Alligator mississippiensis: one gene and its partners. The protein of the gene in region 3 interacts with the protein of the main gene of each other region in a pairwise test. Links are inferred from orthologs where the notes say so. Each region holds a gene or a part of one and is shown on either strand. Other genes may lie near its edges.

Region 1 (7,203 bases), on a different chromosome or scaffold from region 3:
GGCTTAGCGCAGAGTGGTAGACTGGGAGCCCAGACACCTGGGTTCCATGCCCAGCTTTGGGGGGGGGGGGGGGGGTGTAGGGAGCACAGGGCACTAGGAGCAAGCTCTGGGAGGGGCATGGGGTCTGCTGGGCTGGTGTATGGTGGGGGCTGGGAGCCTGGCTGCCTGGGTCTCCTCCTGGCTGCCTGGCCGGGGCCCCGGCTCACCCCAAGCGCTCCTGGCTCTCCTCGGGCGTGAGCTGGTCAAAGGTCTTGGCCTGCTCCTTGCCCAGGAAGGCCTCGTGGTCATACTGGAAATCCTGGTTGTCATCGTGCTGGTGGTCGCTCAGCTCCTTGCCATGGTGCACGCGGTCCTTCTTCTCCGGGGGTGGCTTGGCCAGAGCCCCCCCCACTGCACACAGCGCCAGCACCCACCAGCCTGCCAGCACCCACATCCCTGCGCCTACAGGGCAATGGGGGAGGGTAGAGACCCCAGCCCTACCCACAACTTTGCCCCCTTCCCCAGCTTCCACTGTCCTTGAGTCCCCCACAATTCACCCCTGCAAGGCAGCCCCCAGCCTTGCCCCACACCCCCTATCAGAACCCCAGCCCCACCATGCCCAGGGGAGGCGCCCTTTGTCCCAACCCCCCCCCCAACTAGAGGGACCCCAGGGCCCCTCCCCATACCTCACCCAGCTCCAAACCGCCGCGTGTTCGAGCCCCGACTGGAACCCGGCTCCCCCTGCCCCGCAACAGCCCCCCCACACAGGCCCACCCTCTCGGCTGGTGGGGCCAATGAGAGGGCGGCATACCCCCGCGGGGCGGGGCCAGGACGCTGGCTGATTGGCTGCCCGTCGCCACGTTGACACAAGTTTCTCCCCCAAGCAAGTTGTGGCCAAGTTCTGGGCAGAGAGGCCACGTGGAGGGGGGCGGGGGCTAGGCCACGTGGGGGTTAGGGGGCGCGGGGGCTGAGACCAGGCAGGCAGGATCTTTGATGGGTCTTGCCCTCCTCAAGCTCAGCAGCCCTCCCCACCTCCATCCTACAGCAGCCCCTGTCCCTGCCCACCCCCACTCCGGGCTGCCCCGTCCTGGGGGGGCTCTGCTGGGGCTTTGCCGCCCCCCCGCTGACCCAGCGGGAACCGAGGGCTCAGGCCCCTCCTGCCCTGCGGTGCTCACTTCCAGGCTCCTCCTAGGCCGCTCCAGCACGGAAACTAAGGCACGGCCCGCTGGGACCCTTGGTCTTAACCTGAGCTCGTCCAATGGGCGTCTGCCTCCCCCCTCCCTGCCCGGTATCTGGGCTGAGTGGAGGTGCTGGTCCCCCGCCGCCCGCTCTCGCAGACTGGGGACAGGGGTGGGGGAGCCCTGGGGACCCCAAGCCCTGGAGAACCAGCCCCAGCTCTTCTGTCAGACGAGTCGGGCTGGGATTTTGCGTGTGGCCCCGGTCCAATCTGCAGCCCCCTGCTCCCCAGCCCTGCTAGTGCCCCTGGCATCCCTGCAGCCTGTCTATTTGTGACATGTGGGTCAAGACTAGCACATCCCAGTCTCTTAGCCAGGGGGCAGGGAGGGAATGAAGTCCCCTAGGGAGGCCTGGGCAGAAGTACTACATCTGGATTCCCCACCGCCTCCCCCTTATACAACACGGATAAGCTCAGAGTTGCCAGATGGGGAGGAATGGCTGGGGGGTGAGTCTCATAGCTGGGATCTGTGTCACTGAGTCCCAGGGGAGCAGTGGTCATGGGTCTGTGGGTTGCAAGTGAGCTCCACCCGCAAGGCAGGGGGGAGGGGGGTGGAGTAGGGGGCTTCTGGTCAGGAGCGAGGGGCACCAGCAAGGCTGGGAGGCAGGGGCTGCAGGTCTGGAGTGAGGGGGCAGGGGGCTGTGGGTCAGAAGTGAGGGGCACCAGCAGGGCTGGGGGGGCAGGGGGCTGTGGGTTGGGAGTGAGAGGCACTGGCAGGGCTGCCTGTGCTATGTCTTGGTTCAGGGCACCTCTGGGATAGAAGCAACAGATGGGGGAGCGGTCAGCTCCGCTCCGACGCCCCGAATATGCCCGGTCCACATGGGCAACTCACATTGAAGTGACACCAGAAAGGGAAGGGGACCTGCAACGCACTGGCCATGTGTGGGGAGAGGGGCCGAGTCTGCAGCATCATTTGGGGTCAGGGAGATTCCCCCCCAGCCCTGCCAGTGTCCCTCATTCCCCACCCACAGCTCTCCTCCTATAACAATTGAACCCAGGTGTTCAGGTCAGTGCTTTGCAAGCTGCCACATGCTCTCCAGCAATGGGTCACTCCCTATGTAGGTCCAGCAGGGTCTGATCCCTCCCATCTCACCCACACTGGAGTTGGGGGGGGGTCTGTGCTGGGATGGGGGGGGCAGGCATTAGCCTCCTCTTTTCCCCCTGCTTTTGCCTCCGTAGCTCCTGGGCTCCAATTAGCTGCATCAGGGCTGTGTCAGGAGCCAGCAGTAATCGGATCAGATGGGGTGGCTGGGGGCAGGTGCCCTGTCATGCCAGGGTGCAGGATTCAGGGAGGCTGGTGGTGTTTGATGCCCCTCCTTTCCCCCCCTGCATGGGCCAGGGGCAGAGGTGGAACCCAGGTGTCCGGGTGCGGGGTGGGGGGAAGGATCTGGTGCTTGTCTAGGCCTGTTTCAGACTGGAGTCTGGCCCTGTCCTGGCTGGAGGGGGCTTCAGGGATTAGGGTGGGGGGTTCCTGCCCTTCAGGGGGAGCTCTCAGGGGTGGTGACTGCAGGGGGGTGGGAGAGGGGGGTACACAGCCCCCCCCCCGGCCCCCAGCCTGCATCGATGGGCCCTGACAGCCCCCCAGGCCCCACGTGATGCACTCACTTTGCATTTTTAATTGCCCCTGTCACTGTAACACGGATTTCTACTTAACCCACCATCCCTGGGGCCCCTGCCCAGTGGAGGAGTATCAAGTCCGGGCATTTATGGGGTCCCAGGGGGGCTGGGGCAGGGAAGAGGGGAGGAGGCATCTGGGGGGGGTGCATGCCTGGAGTGTCCCTGGGCCTTGGGGTGGGGCTATGCTGGGCTGGGGTGTTCCTGGCTGGGGGTGGGGGACCTCTGGTCTCACCGCTGGGGAGCAGCACGTGATAGGGGTCAGGGTCCCCACTCCCTTTTGTCCTAGGGGCTGGCGGGTTGTTGAGTGTGGAGGAAGCAGAGGGTGAGGGTGGGAGTGTGTGGCTCAACTCAGTTCCTCTCAGCCACAGACCCCCAGAACCCCTGGGAACCAGCCAGAAGGGCGGTCCCATGGCCCTACTCAGATGGGGGGACCCACGTGTCCAGGCTCCCAGCCCCTCTGCAGCTAGGAAAGAGGCTGGCAAGAGATGAGAGACTGTGGGGTGCCCCTCACTCCTGACCTGCAGCCCTCTGGTCCCCACAGCCCTGCCAGTGTCCCTCACTCCTGATCTACAGCCCCCTACCCCTCACAGCACTGACTGCTGGTGCGCCTCACCCCTGCCTGTTCCCACCTCCTGACATTTTCCTTTTGCCCTTCACACCATTGGCTATGAGAATCCCAGACCTACGAGGTTACCTGTCCCCCCTAGCCTCCCCTCCCTTGGGATCCCTGTCTGCTCCCAGCACCCCCCAGTGCTCAGCCCCCTCCACCTTCCATGGGGGCAGGGGAGAGGGCTGATTTTCCTAATGGAAGAGACATGGAAAGAGGAGGCATGATGGGGAGCAAAGGAAGATATGTGTGTGTGTGTGTGTGTGTGTGTGCGCGCACATATGCATGGTTGTACACGTGTAAATGTATATGTCCATTGGTGTGTAGCTGTATGCCTACCTGCTTGTGTATACACGCATGCACATGCAGGCATGCCTGCATGTGCGGCCCCACTGTGGCCAACAAGAGCAGGCCCCACCCAGGACAGCCGCCCCCAGCTCCTCCTACCCCCTCCATCCTGTATCCCGCTTCAACCACCCCACAGCCCCCACAAGGCCGTACCCCCTCCCCCAGCCTGGCGCATCCCTGGCAGCTTCTTTCCTCTCCGATCTTCTCAGCCACCAGAGCATGGGCTGATACTGGGGGACTTCTCACCCCCCCCACTGCCTGCTAGTCCACCCCCCCCCCCCCCCCCCCCCGAGCCCATTGGAGAGAATTAAGTTCAAAGCTGCCAGGACAGTTTAACACAAATGTCACCGCGTGGCGGCCATGTCCCCCCCCTACACACAGCCCCCCCCCCCCCCCCAACGCCCCCCAGCGCCTGGGACTTGCCTTTATTCCTCTCCAGCACCCGGTTGGCAGCAGACGAGGCTGGGCAGAGGCCAGGGATTTGGTGCTGGAGGTGGCATTTTGGAGGGGGCGGCACAGGCCCTGCCAGAAGAAGGGAGCCTGCCCCAGCTGGGACCCCAAGTGAGGTACGTCAGGGTGGAGGAGCATCTGGGGGGGACCATGGGGGCTGGGAGGGGCATTCCCGACCCACAGCCCCCAGCCCTGCTGGTGCTCCTCACTCCCAGCCTGCAGCCCCCTGCCATCCCCCTCAGCCCTGCCAGTGCCCCTCATTCCTGACCCACAGCCTCCTGCCACCACATTCCTGCCCCCTTGGATCCGATGGAGATGGGGACAGTGGGATGGGAGGAAGGTGATGCATCCCCAGTGGTGCCCAGCAGATGCCTTCCTCCTTGACTGGGAGGGAAGCCATGGAGCGGGGTCTCCTGGCATTGCCCCCCCTGACCTGGATGGCAGGGGTGGGGGCAGCTCATCTCACTCCCCTGTTTCTCCAGCAAACAGAGGGGGGCATAGACCTGCCTTTGTGCCCCTTGCCAGACCAACCCACAGCCCTGCCCTGCCCCCAGGCTGGGCCCCGCCCCCTTAGCACCCAGCACAGCCCCAGATAAAATGCAGCCTAGGAACCCAGGTGCCTGGGCAGGGATGGAACCCAGGCGTCCAGGTGGGGGCAATGGTATATTGTGGGTGCAGTTCCTGGGGCAATGTGAGATAATGGTCCCCAGCCCTGCTGCTGCCCCTCACTCCTGACCCACAGCCCTGTGCCTCCCCTCCCCCCCAAGTCCTGCTGGTGCCCCTCACTCCCGACCTGCAGCCCTGCTAGCCTCATCAGTGCTCATCACTCATGCCCCTGGAGCTGCACCCATGGATGGGAGGGTAGTTGGGCTGGGGCAGGCTGAGCCCCTGCCGGCCCCCCCCCCAACATTGACAAAGAAAGCCATGGAGATGACTGCCCCCACCTGCCCCCTCACCCACACTCCTGCTCTGAGGAGGACCAGGAGGAGTCAGCATAGGGCTGCAGCAGTGTGTGCGTGTGTGTGTGCACGCACACACATGTGCATGTGCATTTATGTGCGCACATACAAGTGCCATTGCTCTATTCTGGGTGTTTGCTTTTTTGCATGGCCATGCTCAGTGCGGTGTGGGTGCAGTCGTGCATGTGTATGTACCCGTGTGTGTCTGTGCATGTGTGAACACATGCAAATGCTGTGGGTACGCATGTGCGTTCGGGCGTGGGTACTGGTGTGCAGTGTTGTATGCATGTTGGTCTGTGTGCCTGTACATGGATGTGCCCTGTACAGCATAGTATGCATACGTGTGTGGTTTGCCAGTGTCTGTATGTGCATGTGTATGTGATGCTCTGTATACCTGTGCATATGTGTGCATTTGTGCACTGTGTATGTGACGCTGTTTGTGCCTGTGTGCATGTGCATTCGCATGTGGGTTTGTGGGTGTGTGTGTGTGGTGCTGTGGGCATTTGTGTGTGGTGTGCCACTGTGTGTGTTTGTGCATGTATGCATGCATGTCAGGCCTTGCATGTGTGTGTTGAAGGCTGGGGGGCGTGTATAGGATGCTGCCTTTGTGCGCTGCTCTCTCATGCGGCTGTGGCTGTGTTTCCTGTGCTCTGTGTGTGTAAGGAGCACAGAGAACATGGCTGTGTGTTGCCATGTTGTGTGTTCCTGCCCTGCATGTGTATGTGTCTGTATGTGAGAAAGAGAGAGAGACTGGGCCTCCTTGTGACCATAACCCCCTCCTCCCCCAACCCCAGCTCTCCCCCAAAGGCTCCCACACTCACTTAAAGGAAGCACAGCCCCCCCGCCTCAGTTTCCCCTCTAGTGAATGGAGTATGAGGACTCCAAACCTCCCTGGGGGGCCACCGGCGCATGCAGAGGGGCCAATGTCCATCGAGATGGGAATCCCCACACCCCTGCATGTGAGAGACTGAGAAAAGGGGATGGGTAGGGCCAGCAGGGCTGGGGAGCTGTGGGTTGTTTGTGAGGGGCACCAACAGGCCTGGGGGTCCAGGGTTGGGGCTCAGGGAAGGCTGCCCCCTGCTCTGCCTGCCTGAACAGCAGCTGTGCCAGCCTTGCTCTCTCAAGGGCAGTGCAGGGCTGTGGGAGGCTGATGCAACAGCGGGGACAGCAGCTGCCTTGGGGGACAGGGCCATGGAGAGCTCTGGCTGTGCAGGCACCAGCCTGTCCCCCACACAGTGACAGACATGGGCACTAGGGGGCAACAGGCTGGGGTGGCGGGTGCTGGGCAGCCCCAGCACCCCCCACCCCAGAAGCAGCTGCATCTCCATGCCGCTCTGACCGCCTGCCTCTCTCTCTGCCCTGTCGCCGTCTCCAGGTGCCCAGGACTCATTGCAGCCCCGGGGGGGCTGGTCCCCCACACCCTCGCCGCGGCCCCGCGCTGGTCCATGGGGGCAGACAGCCTGTACAAGAAGATTGGGATGCTGAACATACAGAACGCGGCGTGGAGTGGCCGTCAGGACTGGTACCCAGAGAGCCTGGTATCACCACAGCCCAACCCAGGTGTGCGGGGGTGGGGGGCAGGGCTTGGTGCCTGGCAGCCTGGGATCCCCGCTCACCCCCCAGGCACACCCCAGCAGGACCCTGTCCCAGCCCCTGCCCTCACTGGCACCTGGGTTTTCTCTTGGTTCTGGGAGGGCAGCAGGGTCTAAAGGGGTGGAACAGGGTGTGGGGCTGGGAGCCAGACACCTGGGTTCTATCCCAGCTCAGGGAGGGCAGTGGGGCCTGGGGGGCTAGAGCAGGTGGGGCTGGAAACCCGGATACCTGGGTTCTTTCTCAAACCTCCCAGGCACCGTTAAGGCCCAGATCTCGGTTACCTCTGCTGTAAATCTGGGGGGCAAACAGCGGGTGGGGGGGGTGTTAGAAGCACCCCTAGATCCGACTCCACCCACCATTGCTCCATCAGGGTCTCTGCTCCCATGCTAGGGACATGGTCATTCCCCCCCCCCAAG
Region 2 (7,052 bases), on a different chromosome or scaffold from region 3:
TTGTATACAGTAGTCCAGTGGGGTTTTTAAAATGTAGTAATGTACATTTGCCTAGATCAGTCATGAATGTCTTTACATCACATGATAAAACCTCCTGGAATAGATTCAAACAGAGTTGGCAACCCTAATTCTTATTTTAAAGGGAGATGGCCTGATAAATACTAAGCAAGGTAGCCCATAGATAAATCTTTCATTAATGATCTGGATATGGATTAAAACAAACATAAAGAACTGGCGGTTTTCACTATCTTTAGTTGCAGAATAGCCACATAAAAATGCATACATTTCAAATGGAGTGGTTGATAAAATCATGAGGAAGCTGATACTGTATTTATTATTTATCTAGGTGCCAGAGACAAGCACAAGGTCCCCAGTTTCCCCAAGTACTGTAAACAAACTAGACACACATAGAAGGACAGTCCCTGCCCCAAAGAGCTTACAGTCTAAAATCGACAAGATAAACCAAATGAGTTACCTTTTGCATGTCTCAACATTTTTAGAGGAGGCAAATTTACTCATTGTAAAAGAAATTAAATAGCATAATGTGGTAACACAGAAGCAAGTTCATTTGACAGGCACACCTCAGAAGACAACATATCCCTGGCAGTTTCATGGGAACAGGATAACAGGGAGCTTAAAAGACAACATCAAAAAAGACGGAGACAAGGGAGACAAAGTATCAGCATGATAAAAAAACAACAGGACAGAGACAGATGAACCAAACGGTGACCACAATGATTGTTAAAACAATAGACCATCCTATAAGAGTATCATAACCCAGTGATAAACTTTCTTCTTCTGAAATGTTCCTCTCCTCTGTCTCTTGAATTCTTTATTCTAGCTCTAGCCCCTTCTCATGTGTTCCTACTAAGCAGGCAGGAGACAAGCATGTCAAAACGGTCATACTTCTCCACTATACAGACTCTGGGAAGGAATATAAAAAAAGCCCACACAGAAGGTATGCAAGCACCAAGAATTTAATTGTTCTTTCTTCATTACCTGTGCCATACCTAACATGGCTGTGGGTTGGGCCCAGCCTGCAGGTTGTAGTTGGCCAAATTATTTGGGTCTCTAGCAGACACAAGATCACCAGATCTTCTGGGCATGCCCCAGAGCAGCACTGAAGGTGTTGGGTAAGAGGGCAGTGTGGAGGAAGCCTGCACAATGCTCCCATGCAACTGATTCCAGCTAAAGTGTATTTCCCTTTCTTGAGTAAACATTTAAAAATCAGAAACACAACGAAGTGTTCATATTTTGGATTCCTTAACACATGTCTAAGGACAACAAAAATGTATGTCTCCCCTATACTATTTAATTGCTGATCACAGCAACTTGGGGGGGGGGGGAGGGGCGGGAAGGAAGGATGCCCATATCATGAACATCTGCACAAGCAACTGTGATGGCATCTCATCTGCTGTCACTAATGCAAGCTGCAGCCTTAATATCACTATACAGCTCTTCCTCTACCACCCCACTAAAGTTTGACCTTGGCTGTGTGGGATGTAACTGAGCAGGAACTGGCATTCCGGCTTTAGCAAAATCTGTGTGCATCTGGGTAGAGCCAAGATAGCAAGTTCAAGAGTGATGTTGTAGCTGTAATGGTCCAGAAACTATGTGACAGGCAAGGATCTCTTAGGGCAGCATCTTTTACTAGACCAACTCTGTAGCTGGGATTCACAGACGTTTAGGGCTGGAAAGGACCTCATGAGATCATCAGGTCCAGCCTTCCTGCTCTGGGCAGGAAAGACTGCTGGGATCAAATAACCCCAACAAGGTGTGTGTCCAGTATCTTTTTGAAGATCTCCAGGGTAGGTGCCTGCAGATAATGTTAGACAAGCTTTTGAATGCAAGACATGCTTCCTCAGGTCTCACTGCATCCTACACAGTCTCTTACTTGAGACCAGAGGAAGAACGCCTTACACTGGGAAGCTTGTTTAACTGTATCCCCAGGACACAGTTGGGCCAATAAAAGGCGGTGCCCTAAGAAATCATCCCCAGGGGCATAAGAGAAAGCAGGATTCATCTCCAAGAGCAGATTAAAACAATCCAGGAAGTAGAGAGGGGAGAAAAGGAAAGAGAAGCAGAGAAGGATCACAGCAAGAGAGCACAAAGTCAGTGTTTGGAGATGGCCGGGAGGAGCGGTAACGGCTTCAGAGCACGGAGAGCGGATCCGAGGGCTAGACAGACAGGTCTGGAAAAAAGAAATAGGCAAGAAAGCCGATTCAGTGTCAGAGATGCACAAAGCTCTGGGGTCGAGGCAGATTCAGTGTCAGTGCACATCCGCGCGCTTGTCCCAGCTCTGGGCTTTCACGTGGGACTTTCAGCCGCCGGCTCCTGCGGGCCCCTTGTTTATCCGGGATAAACTCCCCCCCACTCCCGCGCTGCCAGACCCCAAGACCCGCGCGGGCCCCGGCCCCGGCCCCGGCCCGGCGGACACACGGGGGGAGGCGAGTGCCAGGACCCGGCGGGCGGAGGCTGTGTCCCACCACGAAAGCAGGCGGGGGTGGGGAAGACGACTGGCCCTACCCCAGCCATTACCTTCATCCTGCTGCCCCGCGAATCCGAGCCCCGAGCCCCCGGGCTGCGAGCGACGCCCCCCAGCCCCGCGGCCCCCGGGAGGTTGCAGCAGACAGGGCAGGAGAGCGCCCGGATCGATCCCCCTTTCCAGCTGTGCCGAGCCCAGGCAGCGCTCTGCCCAGATGTTGGGCGCCAGGCGACGGGCCCCGGGCTGGCAACGCCCCGCCACTCCCCGCCCCGCCCCGCCCCGCCCGGCCCGCGGGGAGCAGCTGGGGGCCGGCCCGGAGCGGGGCAGCCGCTTCCCTTACCACGTCCTGCCGGGCTCCTCACGCCTGGGGAGCCGGGGGCAGCTCGCGCCCACAATCCAGCCGCTGCAGCACCCGGGCCATTTTCTGCATGGGAGGCTATTTATAGCGTCCGGGAGCGGCGGGGACAGAGCGCGCCCGCAGCAGCTGCCGCAGCCTGGCCCGGCCCCGCTCGGCACATGCCCCAAGACCGGGCTTGTCCCTAGTGAGCATGTGCGGCGCGTCCGCACATGCCCGGTAGCGGAGTGAAGCCGCCGTGAAGCGATGCCCTTACCCTGCTCCTGCCTCCGCGAGCCCTGCTGCCCGGCGGGCACAGAGCGGGACGCGGCTGCGGGGGGCAGCGATGAAGGGAAGGGCGGCCAGGGTCGCGGGCTAACACTGAAGGGGAGTTATTTCTCCTTGCTGTAGTTAACTGTCCTCACTTGGCCTGTGCTTGGACAGTGACAGCTGCTTTTTCAGACCTTGTGAAGGGCAGTTGAAGCCCCAAAAAATCTTGTTTCCTGGCTCCCGCAGCTACCCACGTTGTCCCAAACCAGATATCAACTCACCTCAAACTTTGCTTTGACTTCCCCTGGCTCAGCAGGGCTGCACCCTCTTTAGAAAGTCAGCTGGCCACAGGTTCCAAAGTCCCCTGATTTTGGATTATGCATATCAGCTGTGCAAGCAGTCCTCAATTTATGTTTCGAGTTACAATGTTTCGCACTTACAGCGTTTATAAATTGACACCCTGTTTTCAACTTTCTGACCTCAGTTTTGACTTTACAACGCTTGATCCAATGCGACACCATGCCAGCAAACTAGTTTGCTGCGTCACTCATTTCCCTGGAGAACATCTGTCCAAACTGCCTTGGACACTTTCTTTAAGAAAGCAGACACGACTCCAGCCATGACTCCGGAGAAGACTCCAGCCAAGAACCCTTCAAAAAGTCCAACTAAGAGCCTTTCAAAAAGTCCAGCAAAGTCTCCTCAAAGAAGTCCTTCCAAATAAATATGATTGCTATTTACAATATAAATACATTAATGTAGCTATATTACTCATCTATAATTGATCAAGTACAAAATTCTGGGGTATTTTTGGTGAAAGGGGCCTTGGTTCAGGAACCAATCCCCCATTTATAACATTGTTTCTTATGAGAAAATTGGTTCTGAGTTACAATGTTTCGACTTGTGTCCTAAGTCTGAGGACTGTCTGTATTTCCTACCACCTGTCTCCTCATGGCCTATTTTGAATTTGGTGCCAATGTAAATGTCCAGCCAACCTCACAACAAGGCATTAGCTGCTTTTATGTAAAGACTAAGAAACAAGAGAGGTGGGAGCACCCTGAGGCATGGGGGTGGATAACATTGTTGAGACTCCCTATGGCAGCTAGCAGTAGAGCAACTGAGGGCGGGTGAGCAGGACACCAGCCCTGGGTCACCCACTTGGGGGGAGTACACACATAGCTGCCATTGCCAGTGCCAGTGACTGTACAAGGATTGCAAAAGACAGGGAAGAATGGAGGAAAGTTATTGCTACATGAAAAGGTGCCCCGATAGCCAGTGCAGCCTTGGGACAGACTGTCTCCCTGCCAGTGGCAGCAACCCAGCCGCTGCTGCCGCCCTGTTTGCCACGTCTCTCCAGGATGCAGTACAGGTTTCCCTTGCCAACCACGGTTTTGAGTATCCACACTTAATATTTTATATACCATTTTGGCTACCACGGGATGCAGTTTTGAGTAACCACAGTTTTCTGTGGCTGCGCATCAGCCCGCCACCTGCCATTTTTCCCATAAACCTTTTGTCTTGCCAACCACGGTTTTGCCAACTACAGGAACTTTCAGGAACCTAAACCCAGCCGTTAGCAAGGGAAACCTGTAGTGCCCAGCTGTGCCCCAAGCAGATAGTGTTCAATTCTATTCAATGGAGGAGACTTCAGTTGGCTCCTCAAAAGATGCTGTCCTATTAGCTGTGCTACAGTGTTTTACTTGTGGTAAATATCTTTAAAATCTATTCCTTTCCTTAGTACCTCTGACTAAGAAATATCTATAGTTGCAGAGCTGCTGCCTTAACAAGAACATTAGTTTGACAGTAAAGTTAGAATGATAGATCTTTCAAACTAAAAAGAGAGCCTCTGTTCCTGAAGGAATGACTTTAGCCAGCAACCATGGTAGACTCTTAATATTTTTTGTAGACAAATCATTGAGTGGGGAAGGGCCCATACTCTTTCTAATATGGGTTATATGTACAGGTTATACACAAACATGTAAGAAAGCAAATTTATAATCCTATTATGTGAAAGGCCTAGGCCCAATATTTTAAACAGTGGTTTATCTGAACATCAGTTTTCAGAGTTAATGTACATCTGCAGGAGGGCTACAGATATGAGCACACACAACTCAGTATGATTAAAGGTATTACCACCACCAAATAGCCTATTAACCAGGCACATTACTTAATTAGCATGTTTATACTGAATTCTTTCATAAGCCTGAGCTGAATGTACTTGCTTAGCTGAATGTATCTATAGTAAATTTAAAAACTAGACTGCACAAGGTTTATGTTTTAAATCAGCCCCAAAAGTGAGAAAATATAGTGTCCTTTATCTATCAGTAAGGATCACACACAAATATCTAGAGTGGGGGTCAGCAACCCCCAGCACGTGTGTTGAGCACGGCATGTGAGGCCATTTGGCTCCGCACACTGCTGCCAGCCTGGGCTCTAGGCAGCTGCTGCCAGCCACGAAGCCCGGGCTGCTCCCAGCAGGCGGCTGGGTGGCTGCAAGCCCTGCTGCAAGCAGACTGGGCTCCATGGTTGGCAGCAGCTACCCAGAGCCTGGGCCAGTTGCAGCCAGTTGTTCCAGGCTCTAGCATTATCTCCATACCGGCGGGTGCACGTGTGCCTCGGAGCAGATGGTGGGGGTGGGCTGATTGCTCCCAGCTCCCCACACCTAGGCTGGGCTGAGCTGTCATGGAGCTGCAGCCAGCTGTGAAGGGCCCTTGCCCCATGGCCCAGCCCCAACTGGCCCCCCACACCCACCCTCAGCAGCACCTGCAGTTGACCCCACTCAGCCCAGGGCAAGGCAGGAAAATAGTAGGGTTGGCCCACAAGAGCAGGGCCTTTCTCAGCCAGCTCCAGCTCCATGACAGCTTGACCCAGTCAGTGCAAATGGGCGGCAGCTGGCCAGACAGCAGAACAAAGGCAATGTTGCTGCGACTGTGCCTTGGCAGCTGGATTGGTCATATGGGACAAGTCCATCATGCCTCCAAGCTGGCCTGGGCAGCTGCAGGCACCAGTAGGCCCAGAGCCTGGCAGCCACACACCTCAAGGTGTGCCCTGCGTGCCCCCTGCACAGTGCTTGTTTGTCCATGAAGGAGGCTTGGCAGTGGCAGCTGCAGGCACATAAGCCCCTGCCTGGGCAGCTGTGGCCATAATGGACTCCTCCCATGTAGCCAGTCTGGCTGCCAAGGCACCTGCCCACAGCTTCAGTGGCATCACCTCTGTGCTGCTGCCTAGCCAGCTGTCACCCATGCACACTGAGCCAGGCTGCCATGGAGCCACAGCTGGCTGGGAAGGGCCTTGCCTGTGGGCTGGCCTGATTCAGCCCCAGTCCCAGCCTTAGCCCCGGCAAGGCAGGCCCATGCTGGTTGGCTCTGGCCACACCCCCACAGCTGGAGCCATGATGGAGGGGACCCTGACAGGGGCTCCTCCACCCTGGTCAGGCAAATCCCAGCTACAGTCCCCCTGGGGGGGAGAGGGAAGGAATAAACCCTCTCCCTGCCCCTTCACCTTAGGGGGCCATCCCGGCTGCCATGCCCCTGCCCCTGCCAGAGGCTGAAAAGCATGCTGGGGGACTCTGATTTAACTTAAACCAGGAAGGGGTCTGGGACAGCAGTTCCATAAACCTGTTTGACCCAAATCTGATACTACAGTCAATCAGGTTTATATTAAACAAACCAGTTGTGGCCATTTTGAAGCTGGTTTATGTACACTGAACTTCTGTTACATTACATATTTAAACCAGTTTGTGTAACTTCTGTCCCTAGCCCAAAAGGTTATACTGAAAGGCACAATAGCCTTTTGCATTCAAAACAGCATTTACAAAAAAAGAAGCTGTTTAATTTACAAAAAATTAGACACACACATGCACTAATTTGTCATAATAGTTATTTATGAAACCTCCAATCCTGTCCTTTTTTCATGTATATGATGAGCAGTGCCTTCACCAGCATCTGGACACATTTGGTCCCCGGT
Region 3 (7,680 bases):
CCCTGGTGTACCCTTGGCTTCCCGGTGAGAGATTAACCTAGGAGAGCTTAGTACAAAAGCAGCTCCCCCCAGCCTGTTTGCTGCTAAAGGGCACCAGGGGAATTGCACTCCTGTCGGATTAGTCGTGGGGGTGGAACGCGAGTGCAAGCGTGCAAGTTCAGACCCAGGGAAAGGAGGACCTGGGCGTTAAAGGCCCAGCACCGTTATGAAGCATTGCTTTTCCTGGACACCTCTCGCCACCAGGCCCGGGTCCCAGGTGACGAGGATGGCTCTGCGGCTGGGTGCACAGCGCGTGCCTGGAACAGTCCCCGTGCGGGGACGGACGTCTCCACTGGCTCTCCCAGTGCCACACACGGACTGGAGCCTTATCTGCACGGTGCTGGGAAGTCTTGAACATAGGGGAAGCAGAGTGCATTTAAGTAGTGCGTAGCCTAACCCAGAAAGCTAGAGTCTGGGCAGCGCTGCTGACAGCTCACCCTCGTCCCTCCAGTGCTGGGCTTCCAATGCCCCCCCGTAATAAGCATCTACGAGCACCCCGCTGTGCTCTGTGCATGTTTCTGCCTGCGTGCAATCATTTTAACCACAGCATCCTCAGCCCTTCCAGACATGGATGCCTGCTCAGTTCAGTGGGCGCAGCTCCATTCTCCTCTGCTGCCGTTTCAGTCCTGCCCCTGAACAGCGCAGCCAGGGCTCCTGAAGCATGACCAGAAGCCTCTCCTCTCCGACGCCCATCCTAGTCCTCCCTACAGCGGAGACTGCTGTGTCGTCTGCTAGGTGGAAGTGCGGACGAATGCTCACTGCAGGCGCAGCCGGGAGGTAAATGCATTTGCTTCCCTTGTGATCCAAGCAACGTTTGGAAGTGGACTCTTCCAAAGAAGAGGAGCCAGCACTTGAAAACCTACTGTGCAACGGGGATACATTAGAGTCCAGGAACAGGCTGTGCGGGAAAGCTACCCAGAGATACCAGAACGAGCATCAGGAGGACATACAATAGGCAAGATTTAAGAGTCACTGGTGAGGGGTAAGGACTGAATCCTTACTTCAAAATGAGCTCGCTTAAATCAACTGGTGGAAAATGATTCAAAAGGGGATGCTCTGTTAATGCCTTGGGAATCCAGAGAAATCTAATGCCTGCAGATGGCTGCTCAACATTTCCATGTGAACGATACACAAGCACAAAGGCATTTCAGTTCAGAAGGTCTATGCAACTAAAAACAGGGGATTTGGGATAGAAACACCACCTCCACGGTAACAGCAGTGCTGCTGCTGCTGCTGCAACCCTGTAATTAGAGCGAGATCTAAGAAAATATCAGGATGACATCGAATCAACCTTTTCTGTGGGAACTGGCAGGCCTCTAAAGAAAACGCAGAGCTGCTGGGTGTAGTCGTGATGACTCCAAGAAGGATTCATCTAATACACCTGGAGAATAAGGCGCCAGGCCCAACCTATGCACCTGAAACACCCTTCCTGGCAATCCCCAGGCTGAAGTTTTGGATTCAAGGTAGGGATCACGGAGACATGGGGCAGTTTCAGATTTCGAGTGGGACCAGTGTAAGCCCCACAGGCTTCAGTGGATTTGCTCCAGATTCATACTGGTTTAACTGAGACCTGGTTCTGTGCCTCTGCCCCTTCTGCCACCCCCATCTATATTTCACTCTGTCCAGTAATTCTTCCTGGGTTGCCTAAAACAAAAATCAGAAACTCAGCAAAAGAAACACAAGCCAGTGAACTTGCCCTCTAGTCTCACACTGACAGCTTGGGGGGATCTGGGGAGGCCGGGCTCCTCCCGGCCCAACGTGCTTCTGAGTGGCCCAGAAGAGTTCATTACAAAGCAACTCGCTCAGAGCAACGTCAGGGTCTTAAAATTACACGGCTGGGGTTTATTACCAGCACATTAATTAAACACCAGGCTACAATCTCTTTTTCATGCCCGTGCCTTCTAGCCACTTAAGCACAACATATTTCACCCCTGGAAGATTTTAGGGGGTCATAAACTTAAACTCACGTTGGAGATTTCCAATCAGACTCCTCACCCGCTCAGAAATGCAAGCAGTATCCCAATTACTGAGCACCAAGGTCACAAGGGAAAAACAAAACCTGTCCTTTTTAACTTGGGAGAAGGTGGCCAAGGGCTGTTCCTGACTCCCGCTCTGGACCCCAGGGCCCCGTCCCTGTATCCTGGTACCTGTCAAGAAGTTGCCGAGATTTGCAGTTGTCTACTTTGTGAACCCTTAAACTTTAGGGCTGCTTTGTACTCTTAAACTGGCATTTCTTTCTTGATGGCAACCTGAAGCCCTCATCCCCTCGGCTCGGATATACCTTAAAAAACATGTTGGGTTATTTAAACTGGTACGAAAACAAAAGATACACGAGTAATAATCAAAATGCCTGGCTCACCCCATCTCCGCCTGGGTGTCAGCTTCTTTCTTCTTGGGCTTCTCTTCGGCCGCCTTAGCTCCTCTCCACGTTTGATTTATTTTTCCCTTCCTCTTTCTTTCTCTCTTTCTCCGGATCCGGATGCTCTTTAAATTTCCTCCGGAATTTCACTTTGAAATCCGCTAGTTTTGTTGCTTGTTCAAAATGACCTATAATCCCAGAGGGCGTGGGGGAGGAGGCTGGGTGAGGTCCCGAACACCCTCCCGAGGAGAGGTCTTCCCCACCGAGAGCGGCAGCCCAGGGGACCTTGGCCAAGAACTTTGGAGCACACTTTGCTGCTGAGATGTTGCAGCCTCCGGCCCGCAGTGTCCTCCTCTCTCCTGCTCGCAGGATCCCTTCCTCCCTTCAGCATGGGGAGGAGAGCAGCAGCAGCAGCAGCAGGATTATTCACTGCTTTTGCAATCCCTTTAAACAATGCTGCCCACTCCCTTCTACTCTAGGCGACTGATAAACCCTGGAAGTTTTTTCCACAGCCCAAAAAGTAAAGCTACCTCTCCAGTTGATCCCTCTTGATTGCGATTTCTTTGTTCTCTCTTTTTATCCGCTTCCTTCCTCTGCCAACTGCCCCATCTCGGTCACATTTCTCTTTTCTTTCTCCTCACTTTATTTCCAATGGGTTCCAGCTGGCTCAGAGGCACCACCTGCCGGGCACAGCTCACATCTACACCCGCCGAAAAACCAAGCTGCTAAATAAGATCAGCACAGCTCCAAGATATCCCAACACACCTCCTTTCCCGGGGCTTCGCCCTTATATTGTAATCTCGTACATACTACGGGTCTAAGCTTTGACCAAAGGGGTCTGAGCAGCTGCTGCCTGCTCCAATACAGCCTGCCCCTTCTACCCCAGGTATCTCAAACGTGTTCGCTAATACTTTAGAAAAACAGCACGTCCCTTTTATTCCAGTCTAGGGAGTGGTTTCCCTCACCTCCCTGCGTGGGCCAAATTCTCCATTCCTTTGTATTCTGGGTGGACGTTTGCACCTGTGCAAAGCGAGGCTGAGCTGCTATTACATTTGTAAGGGATTGAGGGATTGGGGGAAGGGAAGTTTCTGGGAAGCAGAGAGAGAAAACACTTGAGGAGTGGGGTGGGAAATCAGCTGAACGTGACCTGCCAATGTGACACGACGTCAATCCTTGGATGTACAAACAGGGACATACGGACACACTATATTTCCCCTGTATTTGGCACTGCAGCAACCACTTTCTGGAGTGATGCATCCAGCTCTGGTGCCTACAGTTCAAGAAGACAAGGTTCCTTGGACCCTGTGTCCTGAGACCAACACGGCTACAACCTACACCCCTCAAACATGCAAGAGACACTTCAAAAAGGAAGTTTAAAAAAATTGCAGAGGGCTGAGGGAAGGATGCTTTAAAAAACTGGAAACTGTGCCTGCCCGGTAAAAGATTATAAGAATTTGAAGAATTCAATCTGCTCCTAAAGTTGCAAGTCTTTAGACTTGATCGCAGCCCATAAACCTGGACAGGCTTAGGTTAGAAATAAGGTGCAGCGCTTTAGCAGCGAGAGTTATTAACCAACCGAACTGCTCATCTAGGGACGGGTGGAGACTTCATCCCTGGGAGATGTTGAATTAAGGTCAGGTGTCTTAGCAAAGGATGTGTTCTAGTTCAAAGAAGAATTAATTCCAAGAAGGCCTGTGTTACACAGCTGGCTTTTAAATCTGTGACCTGGGGTCTTTTGCACCTACTCTGCACAGGCATAAATAACAGAACTGAAAATGGAGACTGGAGAACTGGTCCCGTGGCAAAAATGTATAAATCAAGGGAAGGTTGGGTGGACAGATAGATAGACACATTTGACTCTAGGGATAGAGATAGGCAGCCCAAAATAAGCACTAGAATCTAGGGATGGAAATAGATTAGATGGTATTAAAGAAAACATATCTTCCTGCACCTAATACGCACTTTAGGAGTACCAGCAAACATCTCGTGATTGTGCTCCAAGGCCCTAATTCACATTTGTTGTACAGCCACAACAGGCCAGCTCCTCCCCTGCTGTAAATCCATTGACTCCACCAGGCTAACGCTGGGGATGAATTTGGCCCCAAACAGTCTGATGCCTTTGTCCTCAGGCCGTGGATGCCACGCAGCTTCCGTGAGCTGCACCAGTGTGAAATGGGCAGCACTTTATTCTCGCCTGTCACTAACAGAAGTGACTATGCCCGGCGCAGGATAACAGAATTGGGGCCTTTAGGTTTGTTTCCCAGACATCAATATAAGAGACCATATTGAATCAGATAATGGAACCAAATCATCCTCTTCAGTGGGCAAATATCTATGAAACTATACCCACACTTTAAAGAAAATGGAGTTGCCACCACATTTGAAGCAGCGACAGCTGCCTGACCTTGGGGATCACTTTGGGGGCTGAAATGTCAACTGCACCTGCCCTGGCTCACCTGGGTGTTCAGTGCTACAGCTGTCCCCTCCTCCTCACCCTGCTGTCTTGCTACCAGGAGACCTCTCTACCTACCTAAAGAGTGCCTAGAGCACCTCCCTCTCAGGTGTTTACAAGCTAAATGCAGGTAGAGTCTCAAGTTCTGCCTCTCTGCAAGGCAGCACAGCGGAGTTGACTCTTCACACTGACCCTGCCGCACCTGCAGCCTAATGACTTGCAGGGAAGAGAAGGCAGGAAACAGGACTTGCCGCTGCTCTTCTACTGAGCTTTCTGCACTATCTCCAGCAGGCTGCCAGTGGGGTTTCTGCATAAAGCAGCTGCTCTCTGGTACCATTTTCCTTCTGTTCCAACCCAGCCTCCAAACCTGCAGCATCACAACCACGCAGCTGCTTCCATCGGCTCAGAAGCAGCATAGTGCACAAAGTACAGCTATAGACTTGGGTCCTGCTGTGAACAGCCCTGTCTTATGTGTTATGGCCAAAGGAAAAAAAAAAAGATCACATTTTTCCTCTGACAGCAATGGCTGCATTAGAAGAGAAAAAGCCGTTCTGTCTGTATTCAGTTCTGGCACCTCCTTTTGCAACCCGGTCCAAGTGTAAGAGCACATGCACATGCTTAGCATTTGCTAAAGCAGGCAACAGTTGTGCAAGCTTCTCATATTCATACGTCTAGTGATGTCCTTAAACCTTGGCTCCTGGCAGGGAACTAGTCCCGACTTTCCCTCCAAACCCAGCACTGCCAATGCACTCGAGTCATGATCAAAAACAGTGCTGTTTTCTGGGCTTTCACAGTGCCTCAATCCTGACCTAACACTTCCCACTAAAACTAAAGCCAGGCCTCTCGTGAACAGACTGCCAATAGTGCTGAACTGTGTGGTGATTGGAGGAGTCCAATCCCATTTTTGCTTGTGATTTATTAGGTTGCCTACTTTAATAAGGAATTTCCCCAAGAGAGTTTTCGTTAATCTCTGCCAGTTCTGCACATTAATTTCTCCATGCCTTAATAGCTTCAAGACAATGCTGTTGCTTTCACCAAAATAGTAAGTTATGTCCGAGCAGTTTTACAAGGCAATGTGGGTGTAGCAGCCATTCTTCCAGCCCTATTCACGCCGAAGCCTTTGAGCAGACGACAAGCACCAGGACTGCCTGAACTAAGACCGTAAGCATTTTGGGGCGAGGGACTGACTTTTTGTTGCACTTTGATGCTGACCAGCCAGATGAGGCCGATACCTGATCTAAATAATATGTACCAAAAAGAACAGCAACAATGCCTTCACTCCTCACCTTCCTCCCTTTGCCACAGTAGCCCTCCCACCCGTATTTCCCAGGATTTATAGGAGTTATCTGGAGAGTTGTCATCTTTCTGATGCTGGGGGGCCCGGTGCTGAGAGGCTGTGGGCAGCTGCCAGTGTTATAAGTGGTGTCAGCTAGACCGATCTGAACAAGGTCAGATTTTATGGTGCTTGGAACAGGCTGCAGCCTTCAGCGCTGATACTGGGGGAGCTGAACCAGGGGAGGAAAAGATGGGAAAGGTTTCTTAGCGCACATGAAGCCACAGCCAGAAAAGTCTTGACAACTGGGGACTAGTGAGGGCAGTCTGGGTGCTGCTCTCATCCGCTGGACTCCAGGACTGACTCCCCTCACAGCGCCAGGGCTGAGTTCAATGCCAGCACAGGACTGAATTGTGCCCTTTCTGCTTTTGCTCCATTTTCTCTGCCCTTCTTCTGCACAACATGGCCACCAATGACAAAAGGACTAAAATAAACTGCACTGAAGACACCACTGAAAGTAGGGCACAATATCTTTCATATCGACCTGCTAACAGTGGGTTATCTATGGCTCTTCTTAGAAGCTAATTATTTTACACATTTAAATTAGGATAATTAGATCAGCAGGAATTGAACTGAAATCAGATGTTAGTAGCCTTATGAGGATTTTCTTTAACAGGGTTTTGTGCTCTATCTGTCCCTCCTCCTAGCGAGGAGGGGCGGGGGAAGTGTCCCCTGACCTGAAGAAAAGAAAAGAAACGAGATGAGATATTTTGATCACCACCCATGTCATTAATTACGCGGCCTTTGTCAAGTCTGCGCCATTAATCTTAATGGAGCTCTTTACATAAAGCCATTCAGAATATAGCCAAGAGCACACACTGCCAAAAGACAAACCGAATCCTGTTCAAATCACTGGCCAAGATACACACCTTTGGTCTAGCTTTTTGCATTTTACCGATACCTTGGGTGACTGCAGTCAGACAGTCCTCAGCAGTATGGTGTGCAAGCAGCTGTTCAACTTCCTCATTTTCAGCTGTCCATTTTTATATGCAGTTCTCATGTCCTCACCATGCTCCACATGACTTAGTCTTACACAGAAGGCAGAGTATTCCCACCTTTACATCCTTCCAAGAAAAGTGCCAATATTATTAATGCATTGATTAGTATCTGAAAAAATGCCAGACATAAGAGATCTGGGAAGGGAACTGAACAGTGCTCGCAGCTTTTAGAAAGTTTCAAGAGCTGGCCCCTGCTTCTGTGGTATTTGCATGTAACAGTATACATCAGAAGGCCTTGTACAACGCACATCTGTTTTAAAGATAGTCTGATCCACAGGAATAAGAATGCATGAAAAGAGAGATACTCTCACTCTCCGTGTAAAAACACTTCAATCCAGTTGTGTTACATAGTCAGAAGGGTATGTTAAATGACATTTACTTGGTCTCTTTTTTTCTATTTGGCTATAACGCACGCACCAAATTGGTTTCCAAGCATCCTTTTCAATTAATTTGAAAGTGGGTCTGATGGTACAGCAGGGCAGTACTTCTGCACGCTTTC

Evidence for each region.
Region 1: the proteins of HOMER3 (region 3) and paired box protein Pax-6 interact in binary tests that used the Homo sapiens proteins (3 or more experiments, as listed by UniProt). The link is inferred for Alligator mississippiensis from reciprocal best matches to the Homo sapiens genes HOMER3 and PAX6.
Region 2: the proteins of HOMER3 (region 3) and WIPF1 interact in binary tests that used the Homo sapiens proteins (3 or more experiments, as listed by UniProt). The two-hybrid records come from large-scale screens. The link is inferred for Alligator mississippiensis from reciprocal best matches to the Homo sapiens genes HOMER3 and WIPF1.

The regions. Positions count from the first base shown.
Region 1 is NC_081828.1:40,007,093-40,014,295, reverse strand, and holds the start of paired box protein Pax-6, read left to right. Parts: upstream 1-4,192; 5' UTR 4,193-4,351; intron 4,352-6,569; 5' UTR 6,570-6,639; coding exon 6,640-6,754; intron 6,755-7,203. Other genes in the region: RCN3 (reticulocalbin-3), read right to left, coding at 207-441, 671-788. UniProt on the Homo sapiens protein: Transcription factor with important functions in the development of the eye, nose, central nervous system and pancreas. Required for the differentiation of pancreatic islet alpha cells.
Region 2 is NC_081827.1:210,164,629-210,171,680, reverse strand, and holds the start of WIPF1 (WAS/WASL-interacting protein family member 1), read right to left. Parts: upstream 3,012-7,052; 5' UTR 2,826-3,011; intron 2,720-2,825; exon of another isoform or gene 2,539-2,719; intron 1-2,538. UniProt on the Homo sapiens protein: Plays a role in the reorganization of the actin cytoskeleton. Contributes with NCK1 and GRB2 in the recruitment and activation of WASL.
Region 3 is NC_081839.1:1,369,440-1,377,119, forward strand, and holds the start of HOMER3 (homer protein homolog 3), read right to left. Parts: upstream 3,052-7,680; 5' UTR 2,929-3,051; intron 2,587-2,928; exon of another isoform or gene 2,399-2,586; intron 1-2,398. UniProt on the Homo sapiens protein: Postsynaptic density scaffolding protein. Binds and cross-links cytoplasmic regions of GRM1, GRM5, ITPR1, DNM3, RYR1, RYR2, SHANK1 and SHANK3.